Linked DNA regions of Saccharomyces cerevisiae S288C. The gene in region 2 interacts genetically with the main gene of each other region. Each region holds a gene or a part of one and is shown on either strand. Other genes may lie near its edges. The genes, in order: PEX34, CTP1 and ZWF1.

Region 1 (3,011 bases), on a different chromosome or scaffold from region 2:
ATGAATTGGGCCATGGTATCCATGACCTGGTGGGACAAAACAAGGAATCGAGGTTTAATGGCCCCGGATCTGTTCCATGGGATTTTGTGGAGGCACCTTCCCAAATGTTAGAATTTTGGACTTGGAATAAGAATGAATTAATCAACCTCTCATCACATTACAAAACGGGCGAAAAAATTCCAGAATCTTTGATCAATTCATTGATCAAAACTAAACACGTAAATGGTGCTTTATTCACTCTAAGACAATTACATTTTGGGTTATTTGATATGAAAGTACATACTTGTAAAGACTTGCAAAACCTGTCAATTTGCGATACCTGGAACCAATTGAGACAGGATATTTCTTTGATTTCTAATGGTGGTACGTTATCCAAGGGTTATGATTCATTTGGCCATATAATGTCAGACTCTTACTCTGCCGGTTATTACGGTTATCTATGGGCGGAAGTCTTTGCAACTGATATGTATCACACCAAATTCGCTAAGGATCCGTTAAATGCCAAGAATGGGATACAATACCGTGATATTGTGTTGGCTCGTGGTGGCCTTTATGATATTAATGATAATCTGAAAGAATTTTTGGGTAGGGAACCTTCTAAGGATGCTTTCTTGAAGGAGCTGGGCTTACAGAACTAAATTCGTTCAAGCATAAAATTATACAATTATTCTACAAAGTGTTATTATGTTAGATAATCTTTTAAATAACCTCGTCCCTGGATAGATTAAAACCATTAAATAGCTCAAATCTTGGAGTAAAGCAGCAGTAATATGTCTGATATGTTCGTTATATTTTTTCTTGAAGTTTATCAACTTATCCTTTACTAGACCATTTCCCTCCCCATCCAATCGTTGATCGATTTTAAATTTCACCTTGCATAATTTTATTAATTTCCATACACATTTTATCACTGAAATGCACGAGTAACACAGCCAAACTTTCCGTAATAGCCCACTTACATATAACTTATCGTTGACCACGCCTAGGTTTTCCAATACTGCGAAGAAATCAAGCAGCGAACTTACACCACTCCATATATTCTCCCATATATCTTTTGCACTGATTTCAGCCGTATTTTTCTTCGAAACCATTCAACTTTCTTTTCTTCTTCCTTTACTTTTATTCATCTCCTCTTTACTTCTTACCTCAGAGTCGAACATTGAAATCATTTCCCGCGAATTTTTCGATTATAATTACCCTTTCTACTTAACAAGAAGCAATAAGAGCAAAGGGGCGAAATGCTTGTCCCATACTTTGGCTTTTGGATGTGACATTAGGAGCCTTATCTCCTCTTAATGCCTTAAGTCAAAAAATAGTTTTTGGGATATATCTTGTGATCAAATGCTTTGCAAAAGGGTAAAACAGCGTTTACAATAGGATAGCCAAAAGTAAAAAAAAAAAAAAAAAAAAAAAGAAGGAAGTTAGTATCGAGCTCAAACAATTTTAGTTTTGCTGGACATATTTTCAGTTTCATTACTGTATATTTGCAGCTTGGTTTTTGTCGCTCTGTAGTCTTGTTTCACACTTCGTCATTTCCGAGTTTCATCTTGCGACATAACTTGTTTCAACTTTTCAAGTGCGACTTTTTGTTAAATATTATGACATAGAAGAAAGTAGAACAGCCATTATAAAACAAAAGAGAAGTGAGAATACTATTAAGATGGCATTCCAAGATCCAACTTACGACCAGAATAAAAGCAGACACATCAACAACAGTCACTTGCAAGGGCCAAACCAGGAAACAATAGAAATGAAATCTAAACACGTATCATTCAAACCCTCTAGAGACTTCCATACAAACGATTACTCGAATAACTACATTCATGGGAAGTCGCTACCGCAACAGCATGTTACTAATATTGAGAATAGGGTTGATGGCTATCCAAAACTTCAGAAATTATTTCAGGCGAAAGCTAAACAAATAAATCAATTTGCCACTACGCCATTTGGGTGTAAAATCGGAATAGATTCCATTGTTCCAACGTTGAATCACTGGATACAGAACGAAAATTTGACTTTCGACGTGGTGATGATTGGCTGCTTAACAGAAAATCAGTTTATTTACCCAATTTTAACCCAATTGCCATTGGATAGATTGATCTCCAAACCAGGTTTCCTGTTCATCTGGGCCAATTCTCAAAAAATCAATGAACTTACTAAACTTTTGAATAATGAAATATGGGCTAAAAAGTTTAGAAGAAGTGAAGAATTGGTTTTTGTTCCTATTGACAAGAAATCACCGTTTTATCCAGGTTTAGATCAGGACGATGAAACGTTGATGGAAAAAATGCAATGGCACTGTTGGATGTGTATCACAGGTACAGTAAGGAGGTCTACAGATGGACATCTTATTCATTGTAACGTAGACACTGACTTGAGTATCGAAACGAAGGACACCACTAATGGTGCTGTACCATCCCATTTGTATCGTATTGCAGAAAACTTCTCTACCGCGACTAGACGATTACATATTATTCCTGCAAGGACTGGTTACGAGACACCCGTCAAAGTAAGACCTGGCTGGGTTATAGTGAGCCCAGATGTTATGTTGGATAACTTCTCACCCAAGAGATATAAAGAAGAGATAGCTAATTTAGGTTCGAATATCCCATTAAAAAATGAGATTGAGCTGTTAAGACCAAGAAGTCCAGTACAAAAAGCACAATAAAGCATCAACACATAAATCCTTGCTTAGCTCAATTAAATATACTAGTAAATAAGTATATAAACAATAATTTTGCATTTTATTTTACTGGAAACTCTTCTCAAAACCAAATTGCGCAAGGATTGATTCAGTACAATTATGCAAACTCGAAAAGTAAATAAACAAAAAGATACAGTTGAGTGAAAGGTAAATAAACATTATTCTACTTGATTTTCCTCTGTTTTTTCCATTTTTCTTTTTTGTCTTTTCGTGTTCTAGCGTGTTCACTTTTTCAGCCATGTAATTACTTAAATAGGAAGTTTACACGATGTTCTCGCATAAAAAGCTGGAAGTGCAGAACAAAGAG
Region 2 (3,275 bases):
GTATTATGGAATGGATTTGAACAATTCAGATATCTACTACGACGAAATATGCATTGAGGGGCTTCCTGTAGGAAATATAGCAAATTTATTATGGAATATCATCGTAAGCACGAGTTTTCAGTTCATTGGATTTTTAATAACCTACATTTTACACACATCTCACGCAGCAAAGCAAGGTTCAAGGTTTGGATTAGGGTTAACGTTCATTGGATATGGTTATTCAATGATTCCCAATGATGTTACTTCAAAAGTCGGCAAAAATAAAAGCTTAAATAGAATGGAATTAGAGGATCCAAATGAATTCGATGATGTTCGTCTAAATTCACAATCAACGACACAAGATAAATTTGAATCACATTTGAATCACGGTCTGGATGAAGAAAAACAAAACATACCATGGTTGGCTGTTTTTGTGGCATTTCTTGGGCTATTTATCACCCTGAAGAGTATATACGACTACATTCAAGTCAAAAAATTGGAAAAGAAATACCTCAACCAAAGTCAAAATCAAGCATAAGCCATCTTCTTCATTATGATAAAAAGAGATATATAACTTTTTTAAGTGATCGGCTGGTAAATAGACTTATAACGAGTAGAAAACATTAGATGATATATTGTACACAATAATACATTTCAGGCTAGCATAACTAAGACCTTTTCATAGATAGTGAAAACAATACCACCACTCAAGACCAATCTCCCAAGTCTAGGCGTAGCACCTTTCCAAAACGTCTTTAACCCTTCTTCTTTGAAAATGGTTGCAAAACAATTCATTGTAGAGGAGTATTTGGTGGAATCCAAACTTTGCATTCTTGTTTTCACAGTATCAAGGGGCATGGTGGAATAGACCGTCACAATACCACTAAATGCACCCACTAAGAAGGTTAACCCGGATGATAAAGGTTTGTCTTTTGGCGAATCCGTATAATCTTGGATCAAGGTCTTAATCTTATTGTAACAACCCAATCTAACGGCTTGGTTTGCGGCCTGTCTCATGGAAACTGGCAAAACACCACGATAAAGACCAGAAAATCCTTTATCACGGACTAATGATGAATAGTTTCGTACTACACCGCGCCCATTATTATGGTATTTTGGTGTAGCAGATTGTTTATCATCGATCAAAGCAGTTTTGATTGCTTCAAAAGGAGTCACTGCGGCAACACTTTCTAATAGTCCCGCACCTAACCCAGCTATCACCCCTCTTGTACCACTTAGTTCTCCAGTTTCACTATCTCTTAGCATGTCTTTAATGGTATCAAAGCCAAGAAATCTAATACCCGCCTTAGCGGTGTTTCCAATAATAAATGCGGGACATCCGACATAAATGGAACCAATGCCCTGAGTTTTTGCAGTTTTATATATCAATACCAGAGGATTTCTTGATGCCTTGGAGGCCTTATCAATCAGCTGCAGCCTTGTTTTGGCAAACTCAAAAGGATATGTTATACATGCTTCAGCAGCACCGGCTAGGGACCCTGCCAGAAACGAGTGCAATGGATCTACGTCACTTTTGGTAGCTTTACTGGACATCGGTAAAATGCTAATTTATAATTCAAGCTCTACTTTGGAGTTCTTTCATTGTGACATCAAAATGTTTTTAATTTTACGTTGGCTTCGACATTTTACGTTTTATATATCACGCTAAAGTGAGACTAAATTTCATTGTTCTTCTTTTTTTTTTTTTTCACTTCTAATAATTGAAAATTCCGCAGGAATTCTTCCATATTCTTGACTCTTCAGTAAGACTAACTTAATGGAAATAGAGAAAATAGTACATATTTGAAAAAAAAAAAAGAGGTGTTGAAATGATTTGAGAATATTAAATAGCTTACAAGCGTTAGCCGAGTTCCCAGACAGCAGAGTTTCTACCCTGTGCTCTTTGTTGGCGGCTTTATTGATGAGGAATATAAAAATGTAATTAGGCAAACCTACGCGCGAAAATATAAGAAGCAAAGATATAAAGTGTAGTATATTTGAATATTTACATGAACGAAACGGCGACGTATAATGGTAATCGGCTGGGAACTTCATTAAAAAGTCAAGATGTAAGTTACCTCTTAGTAAGAAGAGTTATTGCAGCAAGCTTAGTATCAATAGGGAGACTCTGTCATGTAAAAAAATAAATGAACACAATCATAACCTCTTCGACTGGGCTATTCGTTGTATAGTATATGTGGTGGAGTGTAATGAATGAAGTTCTCAGAAGCTTGAAAGCATATCAAAATCACGTATTGACTATGACAGATTCTTGTTTCTTGCTCCATTACTCCATTCGAGTTTTTCACAACTTTTGTCGTTCGTCTATAACATCTCTTTTTTTTCCCACTCTTCTAAAATATTGGCATAGCTGACATGTTTGGAACCGAATAAGCAATTACAATACGACAGTAAAATAAAAGCATGTTATTGCTGCTTGTAGAGAATTCCTGCATATGTAACTTTCTCATTCCGACGGGATAAGTTCATAAACTAATCAGCGATGAGTTGCGGAAAATTCGTCAATAGAATATTTTCCAGTCAGTGGTGGTCCCAGTGGCCTGCAACCTAATGGCTATAGTTCTGGATAATAAATTGGGCAAAGGTCAGTATAAAGAATGAATGTATCAGGCCGTAATTGAAGCTTTCAAGTCCAGGTGAAAGGCCAAATCGACAATTAGCGAAAACAGGATTTTTTTACCAACTTGAAATAGTGACTGCTGTCTTTTTGCCTGATTAAGTGGTTATATATTTCAACTAATATCACAACAAAAGGCCTCTCAAAATTTGTGGCGAAGTGTACATCCTGGGTGCTCAGGTAAGCGTCGTCTTCGTATTTTTTTTTTTTCAACAGTAGTTTGGAAATAATGCTCTTCGAGGAATGCGAGCGGAAATGTTATCCACTGTATAAGTCGATATTTTAAGGGACGCTAAATATATCATCATAGCTCGTCTATTGGTGGCTTCTCCAATTGCACTTTCAATGCATTATGGTAAAGTGTGGTGATAAGGCATAGTGATGTTTACAGAGGTCTGTTGGTTTCTCTGGGCTCGCTCATCATCCGACCAGTAACCTTGTGGGGTTTCACATATTGTTCTATGCATTATTATCACGGATTTGTGCCTGCAAATGCTGTTTCTTTGGCTTTTCTTTCTAAAAAAATTATGATATATATATTGTTCCTCCTTGTTTAACAGGCTTTACGGTATTGTGGATCCTAGTAATAGGCGTACTTTTCTTCATTTACATATTTGAACAATATATGTCTCACAAGTAGTTGACCGAATAGCGTTAC
Region 3 (4,076 bases), on a different chromosome or scaffold from region 2:
AGATCAGCCCCTCGACCTGCCCACGGGTTTGAAGGAGGCGTATAGTTCATTAGAAAAGCATATGCATATTGCGTACGATGCGGTATGGAGGGCAAAGGGACAGATGAAGGATGATAAACGGGGAGGGCCGAGCGCCGCAGCAGTTTATGTTGCTAGAGCTGCACCTGTGGCAATTATTCGGCCGTTAATTGGGGCCACTGAGGCAGTGTCTAAGACTTTACAGGGAATAGCTAATCAAGTGGATAAGACGCATAACGAGCAAATCAATGATAAGTACAAGTCCAATCGGACTGATTCGTAAAAATTTTTGCAGACATTTTTGATATATATTCAATTCATATTTTATCTCTTTTTTTTTTTTTTTTTTCAGACGTGGAATGGTGGGAAAGCCAAAATGTCACTGACCGCGGCTAAAAGTTAAAAAATACATGAGACGACATTCTTTTATGTATATATATTTACACATGTATACAAACAAATACACACGCAAGTAGAGAGGAGTTGGTGGGGGGAAGATGCCATTATAGAGGAGAAAAGAACAAAGAGAGTGAGCTTGCAAGATAAAATCACTCGAAAAAAAAAATTTCAGTGACTTAGCCGATAAATGAATGTGCTTGCATTTTTCTAATTATCCTTCGTATCTTCTGGCTTAGTCACGGGCCAAGCGTAAGGGTGCTTTTCGGGCATAACATACTTGTGTTTTTGCATATATTCCTTCAATCCCTTTGGACCTCTTGATCCGTAGGGGTAAATTTCCGGTGTTGGACCGTCCGGACGCTCTATGTGCTTCAGTAATGGGGTGAATATGCCCCAACTGATATCCAATTCGTCATCTCTGACAAAGTTGGAATGGTCACCCAGTAGGGCGTCTCTTATCAACACCTCGTAAGCCTCTGGAATCCAAAAGTCTTGGTACCTGCTTGCGTAAGTTAGATTCAGATCTGTGACTTGGGTAGCATTTGACAGACCAGGGGTCTTAGCATTAAACTTTAGGTACACAGCGGCATCGGGCTGCACTCTGATGACCAGTTCGTTATTTGGAATGTCTTTGAAGACACCCGATGCGACCGCTTTGTACTGCAGTCTGATCTCCACCTTGGACTCATTCAAAGCCTTACCGGCACGCATCATGATGGGGACGCCCTCCCAACGCTCGTTTTCGATGTTGAAAGTCATTGCTGCAAAAGTGACACATTTAGAGTCCTTGTCTACAGTGTCATCATCCACGTAGGCGGGCTTAGACCCGTCCTCAGATTTACCGTACTGGCCCAAGAGGACGTCGTCCGTGTCGATGGGGGCCACGGCCTTTAGAACCTTAACCTTTTCGTCACGAATAGATTCCGGGTCAAAAGACACCGGTCTTTCCATAGTCAAGAGAGTCATGATTTGTAACAGATGGTTCTGCATCACGTCTCTGATTATGCCTATAGAGTCGAAATAGCCGCCACGGCCTTCGGTGCCGAACCTCTCTTTAAACGAAATCTGAACGCTTTGAATGTTGTCTCTATTCCACGAGGCATTCAAAAACTGGTTACCGAACCTCAAGACTAAAAGATTCTTGACCAACTCTTTACCCAAGTAATGGTCAATTCTGTACAACTCTTCTTCTTTAAAGAGGGGCCCCAGGTTTTTTTGCAGCTCCCTGGCAGAGGCCAGGTCGTGGCCGAAAGGTTTCTCTACGATTACACGGGTGATGCCATTCTCTGCGTACACACGACTCTTGATCTGCTTGGCCACCGTCAAAAAAACGCTTGGCGGCAAGGCCAGATAGAAGAGACGGTGTGGGACATCGACGTTGGCACTTTTCTCGAATTTCTCGATCTGCGTTCTTAATTCGTCGAAGCCTTCATCTGTGTCGTAATTTCCCGAAATGTAGCTGACCATCTTGAAGAACTGTTCGACCTTAGAGTCATCGGCTTCACCGTGAGGTTTTTTCAAGTGGGGTAGGACACGGGACTTCAGGTCCTCCTCCATGGACAATTTGGACCGGGCATAACCGAAGATCTTGGTAGATGGATCAAGGTAACCTTCTCTGAAAAGCCCAAATAAGGCGGGAAAAGTCTTCTTCTTTGCCAGATCACCTGACGCACCAAAGACAGATATGACGGTATTTTTTTCGAATTTGACGGGGCCTTCACTCATCTTGCCTTATGTGGTTTTCTATTCTATTGGATTTACTCTTTCTGTCTATACAGCCAATTGGAGAGGGGGAAGGGGGAGAAGGAGGGGTGAGTGGAGAAAAGGGAGAGAGGGGCAGGAGGAAGCCACTTTAGGTGTTATGTGTCGGTATATAGATGAACCCACAGTTTGCTTATATATGGGATAGCCTTGGCGAGTTTTCCGTACATTGAAGAATTCGCCACCCTTAGAAAAGGGGCCACCACACCTTGAGCCAAAAATCCCACATTAATAATATTCCATTTTTTTTTTAGTCATTTTTTTTTTTTTCGTCTCTCTTCCTCCTCCGGCCGAGCCGAAACCGGGCTTTTAGCACCGTTGGAAGCTTGTATCTCCGCGTAAGACCGCCGGAGTATGCATCTTATAGCGGTTTTTCCAGTTCTTTTCCACTATTACGTGGTGCTTCCAGTAGCGCTACTATTATTGTTGTTCTTGCTATTATTTAAATGTCACTATGTACTTGATACACACAGTTTGTGGTGATTTCACGCTTATGTACACGGGTGCAAAACTACACCTTACTTACCAGGTGCTCCCAACAGAGACGAGATCCTTTTCGACGGCCTGCTTGACGGGCGCGAAGACGTACTCTAGCGAAAGCGGGCGGGCTGCCGCCTCTTCTAGCTTGGGTCCCAGGGTTAGAGGATCTACCATTGCTAGCTCCTCTCCGTGACGCTTATTCAGTGTCTGAACCAACTGCTTCCGCTTGAGACTGTTTTGCTCGCCATTGAGTAGGCCACCACCGTTCATGCATGCACCCGGACACGCGTTTACCTCGATGTAGTCCGAGTGGTAGGGATCGGCCGTGGCGGCCGTGGCGGCCGCCATCTCGCGTGAGTTCGCCTTTGGACCTGTTCGTCTCTTCCGCAGAGCGGTGATGTTCCTCTTGCGCTCTGACCCGGAGCCCGAGGTCAGTTTACGCACCAGATTTTGGATGTTTCTAAACCCGGAAAGCTCGCTGGCGGCGGCTATTATGCGATCATCGTGCAGCAATCGGTACTCGACAATGTCGCTGTTTCTACCCTCCAGAACTATCATCTGACTTCCTGGGTGTAGTCGTTGGACAGCCGTTACGTACTGGTAGGCATAGCCACCACAAGTGCCTCCCAGATTCGACGCCCAGTGGACTCGCGGGTCCCATCCCGGCGGTGATAGCCGCCCATATAAACTTGTGTCCTCAGTAAGAAACGACTTGAAGTCTAAATTCAACTCTTGTAACATTGTCACTATTTCACGTGGCGTAATGACACAGTCAATCCCATCGTCAAGCGATTCTGGCCTTGACGCTTCTAGTTTCTTGTCAAAACATGGCATCAGCGACAGATGGTAAAAGGACTCACGCGCGATAGCGAGACTCTCGAACGTAGCTCTGATCAACGAGCCCGTAATTTGCTGAGGCGACTTGACATTGAGCAGCATAGGCACCAACTGCGGTTTGGTCTTTTCCGTGTATATAAGAAATCCCGGACACACAGCAGATAATAGAGGCTTGCGGTCCGCACCGGTATTTTCTTTTTGTTTCTTATGCGCAATGATCTTCTCTACGGTTTTGCTAATCGATATGATTCTGCCCATCTCCGTTCCAACCATATACTTGCACTGGAAATGCTTTTGGAAAAAATTCATCAAACACAAATCGGCCGCCTCCAATGTTAAGCCGTAGTACTGCGCAAGAGATAGTCTGCATTGTGGCGAGACACTCACAACGAGGAATTTGTCTTGCTGCTGCGAAAGCTTCCCCCAGTTTTTCAGGAAAACCGAGTGACTTTGGCTACTCAACAAGATTTCTTCACTAGACGTTATACAACCAGAACACGCGAGGCAGTCTGATAGGGTAATAGAGACCTTCTCCAGTTGGTCTGGTTCCGTGCTCACCTCGTATTCTCCGTTCATGTTAA

The links.
Region 1: of CTP1 (region 2) and PEX34, changing one suppresses a phenotype caused by changing the other (phenotypic suppression), as found in Saccharomyces cerevisiae (one study listed by BioGRID).
Region 3: of CTP1 (region 2) and ZWF1, a mutation in one rescues a mutant of the other (synthetic rescue), as found in Saccharomyces cerevisiae (one study listed by BioGRID).

The regions. Positions count from the first base shown.
Region 1 is NC_001135.5:26,269-29,279, forward strand, and holds PEX34 (Pex34p), read right to left. Parts: upstream 1,092-3,011; coding exon 657-1,091; downstream 1-656. Other genes in the region: PRD1 (metalloendopeptidase), read left to right, coding at 1-638; KAR4 (Kar4p), read left to right, coding at 1,661-2,668. UniProt on the Saccharomyces cerevisiae protein: In concert with the three peroxisome divisional factors, PEX11, PEX25 and PEX27, controls peroxisome morphology and abundance under conditions of peroxisome proliferation. Maintains mature peroxisomes in actively dividing cells.
Region 2 is NC_001134.8:783,040-786,314, forward strand, and holds CTP1 (Ctp1p), read right to left. Parts: upstream 1,534-3,275; coding exon 634-1,533; downstream 1-633. Other genes in the region: BSD2 (Bsd2p), read left to right, coding at 1-517; YBR292C (uncharacterized protein), read right to left, coding at 1,663-2,034. UniProt on the Saccharomyces cerevisiae protein: Transport of citrate across inner mitochondrial membrane.
Region 3 is NC_001146.8:195,802-199,877, forward strand, and holds ZWF1 (glucose-6-phosphate dehydrogenase), read right to left. Parts: upstream 2,143-4,076; coding exon 625-2,142; downstream 1-624. Other genes in the region: ATG2 (Atg2p), read left to right, coding at 1-301; iron-sulfur cluster assembly protein NAR1, read right to left, coding at 2,701-4,076. UniProt on the Saccharomyces cerevisiae protein: Catalyzes the rate-limiting step of the oxidative pentose-phosphate pathway, which represents a route for the dissimilation of carbohydrates besides glycolysis.